Linked DNA regions of Schizosaccharomyces pombe. Changing the gene in region 3 together with the main gene of any one other region gives a genetic interaction. Each region holds a gene or a part of one and is shown on either strand. Other genes may lie near its edges.

Region 1 (5,161 bases), 2.9 Mb from region 3:
CAACGGGTTCCAAAGCTTTACGCAGCCATCATAACCACTCGTAGCGATGAATCTGTTAACACCTGATTCAATATAACGAACGTCTGAAACAAGAGAAGAATGTGCGGGAATAGTATGTGCCAATGACACTTTCCGCAAGTCCCATATTTTCACAGTATCATCGGCTGAAGAAGTTGCAAGTTGGTAGCCGTTTGGACTCCAAGCCATCGCGACAATTTGACGAATATGTTCATCTAATACCATTATTGATTTGCCTGATCGAAGATCCCAAATCCGACCGATAGCATCATTACCACCTGAGCTAACTAACGACCCATCTGGCTGACAGGCGATTGAAAAAATCCCTTCCGAATGACCTTCTTGCATAAGCAACTCAACGCCTGTATGTACATCCCATAACCGCCATGTAGTGTCGAATGAGGCAGAAACTAAGTAATCACCACTTGGATGAAAAGCAACTCGACCAACACGAGCCAAATGTCCTTCCAAACGTAACAGTGGAGTAGATTGACTTGCTTTCCACAAACAAACAGTATTGTCTGCGGCTCCAGTCGCTAAAGTCAGCTGCTCAGAATCTGCATCCCATGCCTGACATAGAGGATACCAATCCAAACCAGAAACTCGGTCGGTATGGCCGCGAAACAATTGAACCTCTGAGAGGTTATCAGAATTCCACACCTTGACCTGGCCACCCCAGCTTCCGCTAGCAAAATGATTTCCATTATTACTGAATCTAACAATGGCTATTGGTCGCTCACCACCTATCTGAGAGCCCATCAATTCAGCCTTTTGTAAATGTTCGATTGAAGACTTTCCGGAAAGTACAATTTCAGGTACTGGAATCTCGGAAATTTCCCGTTCTTTTTTTAATCTGAGCTTTGCCTTTTCCAAGGAGTAAAGAGCTATTTTTTTACGAGCAACTAATAGTTCGTGACTTCCTTGAACATACGTCTCCTTCTCAATATTTTCAGAAGCCCCTTGGTCTACATCTAATGGATTGTCTCCTTCTAGGGACTTTTCGATCATTAATTGCTGAAGCCTTTGGCGTCGGGCTAAGGCATCTTCACCAAAATAAGTTATGGGTTCACCATAACGACGCAGATATTCACGAACTTTGGAATCTTCATAAGGAATTTTAAGAGCCTTAATGCGATCCTTTTCCTTTTGCTCCGCGTAATAAGCTGCTTGTTCTTTTGTAAACCGCGTTATCCCTTCTGAAAACGGTCTTGTTTCTAAAGTTTTTTATTAGTTTAAAATTTAAAAGGAGGAGTTAATGCTTCTAGTAGCAACGTACCTAATTCACCAAGTGAAATGCCCTCGTTTTCATTCATGTTAACAATCTCGTGTAACACTTACCTCTAATGTAAACTACTATTTTTTACGCACTATCGTATTTAGCTTTTTGTAAATTGTTCGAGCTTTGCGCACTTCGGTATACTGTGATATAACGCATATGTTCAGTTCAAGTATGTTTCCACATTTGATTCTACCTGCAATCGGCTCATCTAAAGTTAGGACTATGGTGCTACCATTTGCTTTTGTGGGGTTTTTTATTTTTCCAATATGTTTAGCTTCTTTGTTAGACTGGAATGATGTATGCTCTTGAACCTAATTTCTCTTCAATTCTAACGGACTTCCTTTGTAGGCATATGAATATCCTAAATATTCGTTTGAATGGAGTAATGTGTCAATATTAGAGGGCGACATTGACTCAATTAAAGAAAAAACTGAAAAAACTAAATTATCGTCATTATTCTATGCTGGAAAGCATGAATATTTTTGTGTATATCCCAATGCGTCTCTTATAAAACAAAATAGCACAACCGAACCAAGCTATGATTTACAAGAATTGCGGATACAAGGGACTGAAAAAATCAATGAGCTTGCTAATGTATTTTTAATCGAGGTACGAGTTCTAATTGTTTTATTTGTCTTAAACAAACCAACTTTACTAAAAGGTCATTATTTGACATGTCCATAAAAATTTTAGAATTAATGACTACTTTTAGTACATGTAGTGTTTTTCAAGCTAATCATTGTATTAGAATCGTGGTTATTGGACTTATGACTATGTCTACGGTCAACACGTGCGTCAATATCATTTGGAGCCGCAGCAAGGTTCTGACAAAGTCCTTGCTAACCCTATGTATATACTTGGTACGGCACCTAACACTCAAACTAAAAAGAATTTGGAAGAAAATTGGGCTATTGGATTTGTTGAAGGTAAAGCATATTTGCAAACAACTTTCCGAAATGGGACTATGTGCGACATTACTAAGAGACCAAGACACGTAATTCTAAGTTATGAATGCAGTACAAATTCGGATACTCCTGAAATTACTCAATATCAAGAAGTTTCAAGCTGTGCATATTCAATGACTATTCACGTTCCCGGTTTATGCTCATTACCTGCTTTCAAAATTCAAGAGGACATACCCTCTGAAAAAATTGTGTGCTATAATGTAATTAAAGAAAAATCAAACGAAGTCGACCATAAGGATTCCCAGCACGTTGTTGATGAAGTTGCTCAAACATCTCCGCCTGAGGTGAAGGAGGTAGAGACGCAATCAAGTTAGTTCTACCTAACTTACTACATGTATTAAGTCTACGGTTTAAGTGAAACTCTAATAACATAAAGTGATGATATTTGATGACACAAATACTCTTGGATTCTATCCCTGTTCCTCTGTTTAGGAAAAAAATGTTAAACCGAAGATAAAGCACTTGAAAAACAGTCGGCGTGTCAATGAACGCAACTGCGCAATTAATGGAGTCATCTGTATTATTGTCTAACGACTTGAATTTTATTGTCTTTTTGAAACTTTTGGAATTCTGCTTCGAGCTGCTTATACTGGTCGAGCAAACCATTCATGGCTGTTTGAATCTAATATTTTGATTAGTACATCAAGACCAAAAATTCATCTGACAATAAAGGGTCAAAATAAAAAAATTCCTTACCCCTTCTTGAGTAGTTTTAAGGATAGGCACAACAGTTCCCACCGTTCTCTCCACTAGCACTCCATGGATCATTCGAAAACAACGTCGATTATTATCCATGGAGTTTAATGTGTCCATAACAAGTCTTTTTAGTTAGGTATTTAATTTAAAAATTTTTTATGTATCACATACTTATGTTCGTCAGCATCGGTTTCCAAATCGACAATCTTCTGCGCAATTTGTTGTAACCGAGACTTATATGAATTGTACTGCGTCTGTAGAACTGGAACTGGTCAACTATTTTGTATTTTAAACTCATCCACAGTACATACTCTGCTGCCGAGAAGGTTGTTCAGCCATTCTGCTTTTTTGTATACTCAAAAAATGTTGGTGGATTATACATGTTATATCTAAAACGTATACGAATTTTAGTGCGTAGCAATCATTGTTGCTGTAATGATAGATAACAAGCGCTATGGATTACGGTAAATCTGTAATTAATTAGACTCTGAGTATAATTTTAAAACAGTAATTAAATGTTTGTGTATTTTAAAATTAATGTAATAGTTAAACTATATTAGTCTAATTTTTAAATGCCTATCATTTGCACTATACGTATATCAACTTGATTAGCTCAACCTGTGAGATAGAAGGGTATATTTTTTTAACGATTTCAGCGTTTTACTTATTTTATTGCAGTTACGACAGTATTTAATAATAATTAAAAGAAAGGCGGAATCTTTCAATGTGCTAAATATGCTTCAGTTATCCCACCTTATCTTGTAAGAATTGTAAATCAAGATCTAGTCACATAATGAAAATAATATCTGTTTTATTAAGGCTGCAGGCAGAGCGCACCAAGTATTTAAACTAATGTATTCGTAATCTATAAGTCAATTTCTAACTCAATATCTTAACTCACACCAAAAACCCATCAAAGCTTAATATAAATCTTTTATCTTTTTTCTATTAACCTGATAGCATCATTCAAGCTTCTTTGAAAGTAAATTTTAGTTTTTAAGTCATGGAACAAAATTCTCTAGAGCACAATTCATCACTCTGTGACAATTCATATGATAAATTTGTCAAACAAGGAAAAACGTATGAAAGTAAACAGCACGATTTAGAGGCTATACGTCCAGTTTTAAATAACGATACATGTCTCCTAGAAGATAAAGACTACCGCATACAATTACGCTGGAATTCTTCTCTTTTGCCAGTCTTAAAATTTCGCTTATTGTTAGATTATCTGCAGTATAGCATTCCACAGAAGATTCCGAAGATATACTGTTTTTTATAACTTCAGGTTCCATTGATTTAATCCAGGGCATCCCACTTACTGAAGAAAAATTTGTCGCTATAACGGTATCTCCTTTACGAAGAAGGATTTTCATAATCCCAGTAACGTCTTTTGTGTTAGTGAAAGCTACTACCCATGATACTGATTTATTGTGCTCACGTCTTTGCGAATTTACAAATTTCGCAAGCTCAATCGCAGCTTCTTTATTGTGTGCTCCGTCAAATAAAATATCACCCAAAGAAGGAACCGAACGAATGTCAAGCCTTCCAGGCCAAGATGTATTTTTTACACCATTTTGTACATGGGGAAGCATAATTGAAAATGACGAAGAAAGGATATCGAGAGCAGTTACTGCACAAGCCAAATTTTGTCCTTGATAATCCCCCTTCAATGGAGTACTAAAAGTATTGGTTCCCCAATTTGGAGTATTGATGATCCACTCATTTTTGTTTTCACCTGATTTTCCTTTTGCCAAATAAAACGGATGTGCCCTCGTTTCCTCTGCACTTAATTTTAATTGATTTAGGACGTTAACTTCATTTAACCCATCAACCACGCACGGAACATTCTTTTTAAAGATCCCAGCCTTTTCTTTAGCAATAGCCTCTAAGGTATTTCCTAAAAATGCTTGATGGTCCAAGCAAATACGTGAAATTATTGAAAGAACTGGTTCTTCAAATACATTAGTAGCATCCAAACGACCACCCATTCCTGTTTCAATTACAGCCACACGAACACCTGAATGATGAAAACATTGGAACGCAGTAGCAGTTAACAATTCAAATTCCGTCGCTTTTGTACGAAATCTTCTATCCACTTCAATCACCTGCTTCCAACAAGTATTAAATATCTCTTCACTAGCAATCTGACCATTTATGCTTATGGTATCTCTTGGCTCTAAGAAATGAGGACTTGTATAGCGTC
Region 2 (5,655 bases), on a different chromosome or scaffold from region 3:
TAGCTTCAAGTGTTATAAGAGATTAGAATTTTTAAATATATAAATAAACCAAAAAAAAATAGAATAGTTAACAATCCCCCGAACATAACCTTTTATCCTGAGCGCTGTTTTGTTTGCTTTGAAGAAAACAAAGAATAACAAATTCAGATAATGAGAAAGTCTCGTCAAAAAATTGTATTTTATATGAATAAATAACGATTGAATCAGTATTAGAAAATTATTAAGTTAGGAGAAAATGGTCCACTGTGTCGGTTATTTGACGAATTGCCATTCCGATAACTAAGGTCCAAAAGAATAATTATGGTAAAATCGAAATAGTACGAAATAAAATAAAGAGTATAAATAACAAATTTACCAATCTGATAAATCACTCATCCTAATGATTGGTATAGGAATAGACAATAAATGCTCCTTTCATGTTAATTACTAGGTGAGCACAGACGGTAGGAAGTGCACGTAAGATGCTTAAACAACGTTCCACAAAACATTAGGAAATAGTACAGCATTTGGTAGTGGCCTTATCCTTCGTCGCTTTACCAGGCTTAAAATGCTGCTGCTGCTTTGTCTTCGAACTGACTGACGGATTTGCTTTAGGCGGAGCAACCGATACCATCATTGGTTCCGGTATATTATTTGCATAATTAGCAAATCTAAAGTTCAGTTAGCAACTTTTCAAACTTTGAGATCAAATCAAGCATTTTTTGTTTCACGTCATGAAATTTGCTGTAAAAACACTTACTCCTGTCTTGCTTGTTGAACCGATATTTTTTCATTCAATAAAGCCTCTGTTTCCATTTGTTTAAGGACCGATCAACTACAATTTCAATAAGTAATGCCTGTTAAGTAAAATTATAGCCTTGCCTGACCATTTCATCATACATATATGTAGGTGTGCTTCTAAGCGCACTAAGTATCGTTATTTGATTATGTTGTTTAACCTTATATTCCCTAATATAAAAAGAGGAAAAAAAATAGAATAGCAGTTTTCCAATTGTAAATTTGACACTACTCAAATGCCTTTCACTTTCAGGATTTTTTTATCTCTTTAGTTTGTTCTTTCCAAGTAGAATACGCATATATTACACTTCTCTTAACAAAATAATTGTTAATGCGAAAACATATAAACAATAAACTTGTGACAGATACAAAGATTTTGTCATTGGGAGGACAAAGTAGATACTTTATGTTGATTGGATTTTTAAAACGAAATTATGAATTCTGCTCGTAAATTTCTTTACTATCGTTGTCTTATTTTCTAAGTAAAGAAGTTACATAACCAAACTTCCTATAACTCGAAGTAGATTAGTAAATTCAACCACCTTAAGTTTCCTTTTTTTTTAAAAGAAAATTTATTATTTTTTATTTAGACTTCAACAATTCTTTGGCTATAGATTTGTTCGTTTATTTTTTAAATCTCAATTAGGAAATGCTTTAATTAGAGTTGAGCATTGTTTCAAGGGAATAGTTAAAAGATATTTGCAACAATTTTCATATTTTTTATTTTTATTATTGAATACATGGGGTTCTAATCTTGGTATCTCATATTAATAGTAAACTCATATCCTAACTTTAGATGCGATTTTGCTTGGAAATTTGGGGAAAGAAATAAAATCAATATGATATGTTTTTCTCGTTTCCGTAAAGTAGAACTAATTAACTACATACATCTTCGACTTGAAAAAATCACCATCTTATTATAGCTTTTATACATCTGGTACTCGTCACTGGCCTATAACCAGTTGGCCAATTCTATAACCTACAGTGTTCCGACTAGTTACGAGTTTTCTATTATGAGCTTAAATCTACTAGTCAATCAGGAAGAATTAAAGAGATATCTGGATGAATATGGTGGTAAGAGTTTTTCAATTGATGCATTTTTGCAAGTCATTCTTTTATTCACAGTTTCATAGTATGGTCCAAAATATTTCGCGCGCTGTTTGTCGCCCGTAATTCTAAGCCGTTAAGAAGTTTTTGTGTTCATTATGCCATTAAAGAATTGAAAGAAAAGACATATAATCTAGAGTTGTACCAGTCTCTATTCGAGGAGTTTCAAGATTGCTTCGAAAACGAGCAGCTGGACGTAGAATGGGTTGAAAGCGTTACTTTTCATAGGAAACAAAATCTAGAACAATTAAGAAGGGAACTAAAAGCCTATAAAAACAACTTAATACGAGAATCTATAAGAGTATGAGCTACAAGATAACTTTTTGCTTCACAGACTTTTTATTACATCCTTTGTTACAATTCTAACAACTTTAGGCGGCACAACTAGATTTAGCTTCTTTTTTTGCTGATGTGGGCCAGTTTGATAGTGCTTTAAGATCATATGCCAAAGTTCGCGAATATTGTACAAATGCTGGACAAATTGCTCATTTATCCTTAGAGTTAATGAGAATTTCTATTTGGATTGGTAATTATTCTCATGTACTAGCCTTCGGGTCTCGCGCCAAGTCTACTGTTAGTGCAGCCATGGAGCTAACTAGTCCTATTTATGCATACTGTGGATTGGCCAACTTTTGCTTGGGTGATTACGAAGAGGCCCTGGCTCATTTTTTAAAAGTTGAAACTGATACCTCTGATGGTATTATTACAAAAACTGACATTTCAGTGTATATCTCACTTTGTGCACTAGCGTGCTGGGATCATAAACGTCTGATTCAAGAGCTTGAAAGAAATGAAGAGTTCAATGCTTTGTCAGATTTAGACCCTTCCCTGAGACGTTGTTTGCAAGCGAAATGTAATCGCAAATATAGTCTTTTGCTTGATACATTACAGCAAAATGCTCAAGACTATTCTTTAGACATGTATCTGGCTCCTCAATTGACAAATTTATTTTCCCTTATTCGGGAGCGTTCACTTCTTGACTATTTAATTCCTTACAGTGCTTTGCCGTTCAGCAAAATTGCAGTTGATTTTCATATTGATGAGAACTTCATTGAGAAAAATTTATTAGAAATAATCGAAGCCAAAAAATTAAATGGCAAGGTGGACTCTCTTCAAAAGGTAAGTATAATAAATCTGCTATATTGGTCTAACTTTATAAGCGTGTTTATATCGAACCTTCTTCAGAGCCTGAAAACTTCGAGGACATAAAAAATATCGCGCAAACTAGTTTGCTTTACAGCAAGGCTCTTTACTTACAAACATTGGCGGCGATGAACACTGAAAATACTGACGACGAAGCTCCAGTTATCGCTCAAACGAACATTACCGCGGAAGATTCACAGAACTAACAAAAAGCATGCACATCATATAATTGGTTAATCCTTTACTTACTTTTTTTGAAATTTCATTAATTATTTAGCTTATGAAGATTTAGTTGCAGCTGTTGTAGCTGTTGCCTTTTGTTGCATAATGTTTTGAACGGCTACAGAGAATTAGCAAATTGTTGATAATAAGATAAAAATTGATCTGTACTGTAAATGCTCATACCTCTAATTTGAACTGATTTTGCGTCAATGGCATTGTTGAGGTTCTCGATACTGCTGGCGAGATATTCACATTTTCTTTTATAATATTCGGTAGCTTCTCCAGCGGACTAATGTCGTTAGGTTTAAAAATCTCTTATATATTAAAAATACCTTTTCAACGTAATAACCAGTCCCAATATCGACCAACAATTTACTGTTTCCTAAATTCAGCTTTCCAGGAACATACAAGCTTGAAGTCAAAGGTACCAAAACCTCCTTTCCTATTGACAATAGTTAGTGAAACATATGCAAAAAAAATTTCAGTTTGTCTATACCATCGTTCTCAGCCCGCACAGCATCGTTAACGTTTGCCAGGCATTCACGAAATTTCAATTGAGCACGTCCTAGTTGTCCATAGGAGGTCGATAGATACTCTAGCTCAGAATCTAACTGTTTTATAACTTCTGATAATTGCTCCAAGCTGAGAGAAGTCAAATCGACCGCTTTATTACCTTCAGCCATTATTACGCTTCTATTAGAACAGTCAAGATACGAAGGAACTGGTAGAAATTCCAACGCTGCACTGCATTAAATTACAGGTACATGGTAATCCATTTCAATATACAATCAGTTAGTTGGTTGAAACAATATTTGTTTTAAACAGTTATTCAGAATTATACCAAACAGTGAAAGTAGAATCGAATATGTTATTGAGCAGAGGGACGCTATAGAATATATCAATATAGATGATAGATTTTTCAATAATTAATAAATTATGAGCATGAAGATTAACAAAATTTGGGAAAATAATACTAGTTAGGATGCATTATAGTGCCATTGATTAGAAGTTTAAGTATAGCTTTTTAAGCATCATTTTTTTTGTATGGATCAAATTGAAGCAAATCTTTATCGTTTTCTACAACATCACCAACATCATCTTCGGTATCTGAAGAATTTGAAGGTGTTTTTTCAGTCGCCGTAGTTTCCGATGTGGTAATTTCAGAAGTAGTATTTTGATTGCTAGTACCATTTGCGGTACTTGGACGAGAAGCGGGTTTATGCCCACGAAATGTTTTACCAATCCTATTGGTATCAATTACCAAAGAATCCAATAAACCTCTCAAACCTCCGGTGGTTGATGATTTTTCTTGGACTGGAGCTAAAACGATAGAGTCGGCGAGTCCTCCAGAAAATAATTGCTCTAATAAACCAATTGATAAAACAACCATTCTAAAAGTGGGAAGACTAACTTTGATATCACTATTAGCACCAACAGAACGGTTTTCAGAACCAGTACTGCTCATATGGTCGCTTATATCAATCAACGTATCAGAATGACCATCAGGACTAGCTTCATCAGCAAAATGAAAGCAGCGTTGTATGAATTCGCTAACTGCGGATAGATACTCATCACCCATAAACCTAGTTAACCAAAGAATAGCTTCTGAAACCTTCAAAACGTCTGGTTTATCCATAAAACCATCTCCATTAAAGTCATAAAGCTCGAATATAAAAGATATATTGCGCATTACATCCCTAAATTTCAATTCTGCAATACCGGACACCAAATCCTGTAAAGATAATGATCCAGTCATGCTTTTGTCAAATCGTAAAAACAAATGACGAAGAAAGGATGATGAATTATTGATAGCCGCTGCATCCAAACCTTTCGCCCATTCAGTAACTCCTGCTAAAAATATACAAAATTCGTCAAATTCCAACCGTGTATCAGTAGAGCTGCCTAATCCAACTCGATGTTTGGACGACAATACTTCATGATAACGGTCGTAAATATTACTTAAATCCGTACGTGTTAATGTACCGTAATTTTGTAAACTCCTAATTTGTGTTCTCTTTGCAAATGACTCAATAGAATTCATAACTCCTTCGTAATGTTTTTTCCTTTCATCTTCAATTAAAGAGTGTGTTATATGGCTAAACTTCTTGAAAGCAGTTACCAATAAAAGTTGAAACTTCGTGATAGAGGCAACGCGTTTATCTGTTGCATCTTTATAAGCCTTATCTCCCAATGATGAAAAATAATTTTTTAAAATTGATATCAACATAGTGTCTTCTGTAGCCTTCATAATTTCAGCTTCGTTGTCATATAGGATAGCCATTCCAATTTGAAACAAAACCCTTGGACCCTCTAGAAAGAAAAAGTCTAACAACCTAAACGCATACGGTAAAGGCATTGTGCAAAGGAAAAGCGACAAAAACCACGGCAAAGAAATGATGCTAAGTT
Region 3 (6,390 bases):
ATTGAGTGCTGGCTATTACAATACGTTATCGCAATTTGTATACTAAGAATTTTGTTCCAAAGGTTTTTTTTTTTTGTTTATAAAACACAAAATTAGCTTGACTAATTTTTTTTTTTTTTTGTTATTTATATTGCTAGCCAAAGATGCTTTCTGCATTTCTTCAACCGCAGAGTCGTACTATACAATCCAACCACATTACAAAAATAACTTTTTATTTTCAATGGGAAAGTATTACTTGAGAATAGTTATAAAACAGACTGCTTAAATCTGTCAGCTGAAAACGCTTGTGCCAGAACATTACTCAATATCAATCGCGTATTCATATTCCTAGTACTGCACCAAAATCCTTTTATAAAAGCAATCGCTATACTTAAATAGTTTAATGCATTTGTCAAAATAATGGCTGGTGAATTTAGGCAATAGATGAATTGCATGTAAATCTCAAAAAAAAAAGGTTAAACTATCCATCAAGTAAGAATCATTTAGCGTCTGACAAACATACCAATAATATACAAAATTTTGCAGCTCCTATATACGATGGTTCTCGATTTACCTGTAGTAACAATCAAATTTTTATAGTCCTTTCCTTGCGTTTTTAGTCAAGAAATGCCTTAGCTTTTTTTAGTCGATAAGCCATCTAATTCCATAAGTCAATTAATTGTTTGATATTACTAGGAACGTCCAGGTTGTAAGAGAATAAGGGTACTAGTAAATCCAAAGCATTCCAAATGCAAGTCTAACGAATAAGTATAAATAAAAATAAAATTTCAACTTCCTGCTTATAATTTTAACAGTTCATTCAAGTTGTTATCAATTTGCCAGAAATGTGTCGACAAATGTTCTTAATGTTTTTTTAACGATGAATAACTTAAGTACCAACAGTGAATCAAAATTTGCTCCTTTTCTTTAGAGATAATTATGGACTATTATGTAAATAACCAAGAATGGCGCTTAGGTTAGGATACTGTTCCATTTATATTTACAAGTGGTTGACATAATATTGATAAACACATAGAGAAGAGTCATTAAAATATTAGTCATTAAAAAGAAGAGAAGAGGCAAAAGAATCGAAGAAGACAATACAGCTGAATCACAAGTCAAATCTAATCACGTTAGACGTAACAAAGGTTCGTCAGCAACAAAAATAAAACGCTTCCGTTTTATTTTACTCCCGTAAAATTAAACAAGAAAACAGCAATTCAGGAAAAGAGGTCGGTAATTAAAGATATAAAGGGATCATTTATGAGAGGAAGTGCTCCTTCTAGAAAGGAATTTACGACCAGAGTTTCTTAAACGTTTGCTATGTTGAACTAAATCATCGACAACCGTCTCATATAACAACTTATCGCTAAGAGCTGAATCCCTTTTATCGGTCCAATATCGAGCAACTTCAACAGCTTGCTGCAGAGTTGATTCTAGTAACTCTATATGCTGTTGTAAAGACTCATGAGATCGGTGGGTTAATGCGTCTTTGTTTATGCTGCATAAACGACGAGCAGCTGAATAATCTAAATATGGTTCATCCTCAGATTTTGGCAACGTCACGGAAGACAATTCTATTGTGCGTGAAGAATTGAATGATCCCTGGGTAGAAGGAGTAGGCAAAAGTTCATCCAAATCAACAGGAAGACCCATAGTAACTAAAAAAATATGCCTGATGCTAGACCTCAGCCAATCTGGCCGTTGCAGCACGGGCATTTCAATCAGTTTTTGCCAAAGAGACAATATACGATCCGGATCCAAGGAGGATTCTTCAATTGTTTTCGGAGTTTCAGGTAGTCCAAATACAGAATTGACAGCATCTTGGAAATCATCTTGCCAATCACCCATAAATGTACAGATGGGGATATCATGTTCAAATTCACCAAAATCGTCAAATTCGTCAAACTCTTCTTCCTCTTCAACTTTTTTCTCCATTTCATTGTCTACAATGCCTGATTGGGAAATACTAGCTTCTCTATTAATACTAAGACTCTCCGCCCAAACAGTTGATGTAGCGTCAAGGTCAAGTTTAGATGCTTCAACGACTTTTTGGTTTTTAGAATCGTAATCCTCTACAGGATTTAAATCATCTTCTTCAAGAAGGTGTGGATCTATTTTTGTATCAGCTCCCTCTTCGCCATCTACATCTTCCTTCAACGATGAAGATGCAGAAGGGTCAATATTTACTTCAGAGTTGCCGCCGTCAGATTTCTTCTCTTCTTCTAAACCCAACACAGGTGATTCCCTTGATAATATTGGCGGACTTGCCATAGGTATACAAATGGAACGTTTTATGCTCCCAATCTGTTTAATGTTCACGCGAAGTGTTTCTTTCTCTTTGCTCAGATGGTAAGTAACGTCAAACAATGAGCTGTACAATCTAACATAGTGATACGCTACATTACACTCACAATAAAAGTGCAAATAAATACTAGAGGACGACTGTCTATGCTGCTTGTTAGCAGGAACATTTGGTTGTTTTAAAATTGTTTGATTGTCCAGCTAAAATTTAAATCTCTAGTAGAATAAAGGGGAATACGTATGTTTTTTTATGTGAACAGTTTCACCTAACTGGCAAAATTAGAATAGATTGGCGAAATCTTAAAAAAGATTTAAGCATGACTTGGATAATCCTTAAGTAGTTGGGATTGTCTATTATTTTAATGGATTGGAATAAAAATCGAAGACACAGTACAGTTGAGTAGGATAGCATTGAAAGGGTGGGTAAAGAATGATGAACGTAGAACCTTTTCATGATCGTCTTTTGAAGGGTCAGTAATAAATTTTAGCAGGGATCTACAAAAGCTAGTAAATGTGTATTCAGTGGTACCCATTCGTGGGGAAATTCGTTTGCTCTTTTTCAATTACTTCTTTTGCTTTTTCTAAATATTCATTTGCTTGTTCAAGTTCAGGAGTTCCTTCGTATGCACTGTCAGAAGAAATGGATTCCAAGTCGTTCGTCGCATTACGAAGACGTACAAGAGCATCTGGCAACGCCTCAAGATGCTTCTTCAAAACAAATTTCTAGAGGTCCAGAATGTCAGTACTTTGATTATTTTTTATTTTAAAAAAGATACGCTAAAGCGGAAACCACCGAAAAGTATCTTCAGCTTGGTAGAAACATCTTCTAGCACAACACGTCCAACGTTTATATGGTTTCAACTAATGCAACATACCTGATGCTCAATTTCTGCAGAATCTTCCCCATTATCAATTTTACTTTGTACACGTTTCTCGGCCTCGTTAATATCGATATGAGCCAACTAAACAATTGTTGAGGTCAGAAAATTCCATCTACAAAATCGCGATCCAAAAAGGAAACTTACTTCTACATCTTTAATAATTCTTTTAACGACATTAGTTTTGATGACTAAGCTCCTAACAGTATTTGACATGGTAGAAAATAAAATGGACGCGATATGCAAAGGAATAATGTTAGGTTGGATGATTTTCCTTGACTGCAGTGTAGGTAACGTTGGAATACAAAGGAATGCTAATGTTAGCGTGTGGTGATAAGTTACGAGAAACGATTAAGAAAAGCTAGTTCTAGTTAAGTTTTCAATTTCTTTTAAAGCCCTTTCCTTAAATTCCTAAAAAAGGGTATTTGATTAAATGTTTGCATCAAGTATCAGACTAGTTATTGATCGACAAACGTTTCATTCCTATATTATGTATGAGATAAAATTGCTCAGTTATTTCTAAATTTACGATTCACCGATACTTGTACCAAAAATTTCATGCTTTTATGGATGCTCAATCATATGGGAGGTTGAGCTTTTCGGGATTCAGCTATATGAAAATTTTCTAGCGCGTAATTCATTATATTTAGACGTAATTGCTTTTACAAATATTTTCCAAAACAAAAATTTCTGATTCTCCGTACACACAGTTATCTCCCAACAACCGAAATTGTTAAAAGCACGATTTCATATAAGGATAGGTTGATTGCTAATCACTCGAACCACAGTCTGTTAATAATTAGTCAACTTTGCCTAGCCAAAAAAATTCAGCTTCTATCTTAATCCTTGGAAAACAAAAAATAAAAAAAGGACCTAATACCCTCTTTCAAAGTAGATCCTGTACAAGATATTTAGTCTACTCAAAAAGCCGGTACAACGATATTAATGTCAACAGACTTCGGTATAATGGGACCAGTCTTCAATGTGAGGATAATAGCTAAAATCCTTTACTCTATATAGGACTTTAAATGGATCCTTGAATATTATTCTGTTTTCTAAAATGATTGATCATATTCTACGCCACAGATGCATCAAAAATTCAAATCATCGCTTGGGAGATAAAAGAGTGAACGCTTTTTCATAATCGAACAGCAACCTTTCGAACCCTAGTAGTCATTAGTATTTTAATCCACTTTTTTTTTTGCAAAGCTATGAAAAACAAAGACTGCAACCTGGTATAAGCATTTTAAACATATCGTACTTTGCGTGATCTAACAAATTAATCTCTATCTTGTCAGTTCACAACTTTGGACAGATACAGATGATGAATTTCGACAATTAAACATTTGCAAACAAGTCAAAGCTCAACATACAAGCATTCACTGTTTAACGCTTTTTGAACTTTCTCATTTCCTGAAACGTTTGTTTACAAGCTGATATAAAAAAAGGGATTGAATTGAACGGCTCAGTTGATATAGATTAATTTAAAAAGTGAACTCCGTTTAGAAAGTATCGCATAAGTTAAAAAATGGTATTCAAACAAAGCTAACAAAAACGAAACAAATCGCATTTTCCCATGAAAAATACAAGGTTGTTCGGAAAACTGCATATTTGAACATGATGACAGCCAAGAAGAAAAATAGAAGGATTTATTAGAATTCCCTTAAACTTTTCATTATAGTCTTTTCGGTACGGTAACAACCATATATACAATCTATACATTTCTTCAGACCATTCAAATCTTAAAATGGAGCTCCCCTTCAATTGAAGAAACGGAAAATTTTTTCTTGTCAAATTTTTACAGACTACTAACCTACTAAACAGAACCTCATTAGTGGTAAAGTCCATTTTAATACTTCTTGCTTATTAATTCATTATTTTATTGCCGTAAAACATAAATTATCCTTTTATTTTCTTCTTCTTTTCTTCCCTTGTATAATACTCATTTTTCGCCAAGTCTCAAGTATTCCAGTGTTCGATTCCGACCATGGAAACGATCTCGGTCGGGTAAAATGAAGACTCTGGTAGTCTCCAGGCTATTGCATCTCGTTCAGATTTGGGTTGATCTTCTGGAACAATGCGGGCAACTGGTAGAACGTTAATGAGGGAACAGATGAAAAACTGGAAACCTAGATGCGTGACAGGAGAATCTGGTGTTCTTTTTTTTTGAATAAGTATATTTAATAGTTAACAATATCGAACATGGTTTTAGTTAAAAACCATGCAGAAACTACTGAACGCAATTAAGTTTAATAGTTCTTCTACTTACACATTTTTTCAACCGTTACTTTACTAGTATAGTCTGGAAATATATATATATAGTTATTAACATGTAACTATTACCTTTTTTAGATAATATTTAAAAAGACATTCTTCCCATCATCCCGCATCTTGACTGTACAATATAATACCGGTACTTAATATAATAGTAAGACGAACAGTGATTTTGAGCTTCTTTCGGATCTGATATTGCTATGGGTGGAAAAAGAAAATTTCGGATGGATTTAGGATTAATGCAGAAGAGAATTTGAGGTAATTGAGTATCATTTTCAAGCGAATTTTTGCAAAACGAAATTGTGTTGCCCTTATAGAACTCGCCAACTTTTGGTTCCTCTTCCGAGTCCAGTTCTTTAATCGCTTGCATCTTGATCGAGAGAAGCGAAATCATACCCCAAATGGCCAAAATCACTTGGCCATTTGTTAATTTAAGCTACCTTTGTCGTCCGACGCTCCCCTTCTTAATCATGGGATTTTATCCGTACTTTCTCCCCGGATTTAAGAGAAACTCGTAGTATTTCACGAAAAAAAAAGAAAAGATGAAATGAGTTTCCAATTTATAATAAATGAATTGTCATTCTCACATTTATGAATTGGATTTCTATATTTTGCGGGTTACACTATTTTGACTCCTATGTGTGTAGCCTAGTTTCTCGCAGTTATTCATTCAAACTTTCCACTCAGCCATCACAATACCCGATATTATCGGTTTGATGGATCTACTAGTGTCACTCGAGTAAAACGACCGTTTTGTCTATTTGCGCTATTTTTTTCCTCCTTTGCAAATCGTTTATTTACACATATATTTTTTCCAACAACACTATTTAGGACTGCTCTTTCTGTGTGTCAAAAAGAGGAAATTTTTTGTATAAAAGCCTTGGGTCCATTGCCACAAAGCAATTTTTCTTTCTGGTTGCCAAGAGTGCCTTCTCTTACTATTAAAAATCTTTCG

What was found. A genetic interaction does not mean that the proteins touch.
Region 1: mutations in alp31 (region 3) and pfd2 together harm fitness more than expected from each alone (negative genetic interaction), as found in Schizosaccharomyces pombe (2 studies listed by BioGRID).
Region 2: mutations in alp31 (region 3) and pfd5 together harm fitness more than expected from each alone (negative genetic interaction), as found in Schizosaccharomyces pombe (2 studies listed by BioGRID).

The regions. Positions count from the first base shown.
Region 1 is NC_003424.3:511,967-517,127, reverse strand, and holds pfd2 (prefoldin subunit 2), read right to left. Parts: upstream 3,327-5,161; 5' UTR 3,298-3,326; coding exon 3,270-3,297; intron 3,221-3,269; coding exon 3,130-3,220; exon of another isoform or gene 3,083-3,129; coding exon 2,959-3,082; exon of another isoform or gene 2,885-2,958; coding exon 2,783-2,884; 3' UTR 2,577-2,782; downstream 1-2,576. Other genes in the region: rna4 (Prp4 family U4/U5/U6 small nuclear ribonucleoprotein complex subunit), read right to left, coding at 1-1,232, 1,295-1,331; putative misfolded glycoprotein sensor Yos9, read left to right, coding at 1,520-1,594, 1,646-1,906, 2,046-2,576; fol3 (folylpolyglutamate synthase), read right to left, coding at 4,068-5,161.
Region 2 is NC_003423.3:4,025,695-4,031,349, reverse strand, and holds pfd5 (prefoldin subunit 5), read right to left. Parts: upstream 3,945-5,655; 5' UTR 3,933-3,944; coding exon 3,746-3,932; exon of another isoform or gene 3,692-3,745; coding exon 3,582-3,691; exon of another isoform or gene 3,539-3,581; coding exon 3,433-3,538; exon of another isoform or gene 3,368-3,432; coding exon 3,306-3,367; 3' UTR 3,234-3,305; coding exon of another isoform or gene 3,045-3,233; 3' UTR 3,004-3,044; coding exon of another isoform or gene 2,260-3,003; 3' UTR 2,207-2,259; downstream 1-2,206. Other genes in the region: heterotrimeric G protein gamma subunit Git11, read right to left, coding at 488-650, 740-795; COP9/signalosome complex subunit Csn1, read left to right, coding at 1,791-1,851, 1,911-2,185, 2,260-3,003, 3,045-3,233; SPOM_SPBC215.01 (GTPase-activating protein), read right to left, coding at 4,274-5,655. UniProt on the Schizosaccharomyces pombe protein: Binds specifically to cytosolic chaperonin (c-CPN) and transfers target proteins to it. Binds to nascent polypeptide chain and promotes folding in an environment in which there are many competing pathways for nonnative proteins.
Region 3 is NC_003424.3:3,374,135-3,380,524, reverse strand, and holds alp31 (tubulin-specific chaperone cofactor A Alp31), read right to left. Parts: upstream 3,420-6,390; 5' UTR 3,378-3,419; coding exon 3,309-3,377; intron 3,246-3,308; coding exon 3,159-3,245; intron 3,007-3,158; coding exon 2,803-3,006; 3' UTR 2,625-2,802; coding exon of another isoform or gene 2,567-2,624; 3' UTR 2,522-2,566; coding exon of another isoform or gene 2,504-2,521; 3' UTR 2,457-2,503; downstream 1-2,456. Other genes in the region: SPOM_SPAC8E11.05C (uncharacterized protein), read right to left, coding at 1,237-2,253; SPOM_SPAC8E11.06 (uncharacterized protein), read left to right, coding at 2,431-2,456, 2,504-2,521, 2,567-2,624; SPOM_SPAC8E11.08C (uncharacterized protein), read right to left, coding at 4,707-5,009; SPOM_SPAC8E11.12 (uncharacterized protein), read right to left, coding at 5,521-5,829. UniProt on the Schizosaccharomyces pombe protein: Required for the maintenance of microtubule structures and cell polarity. Beta-tubulin-folding protein; may have a regulatory role in the tubulin-folding pathway.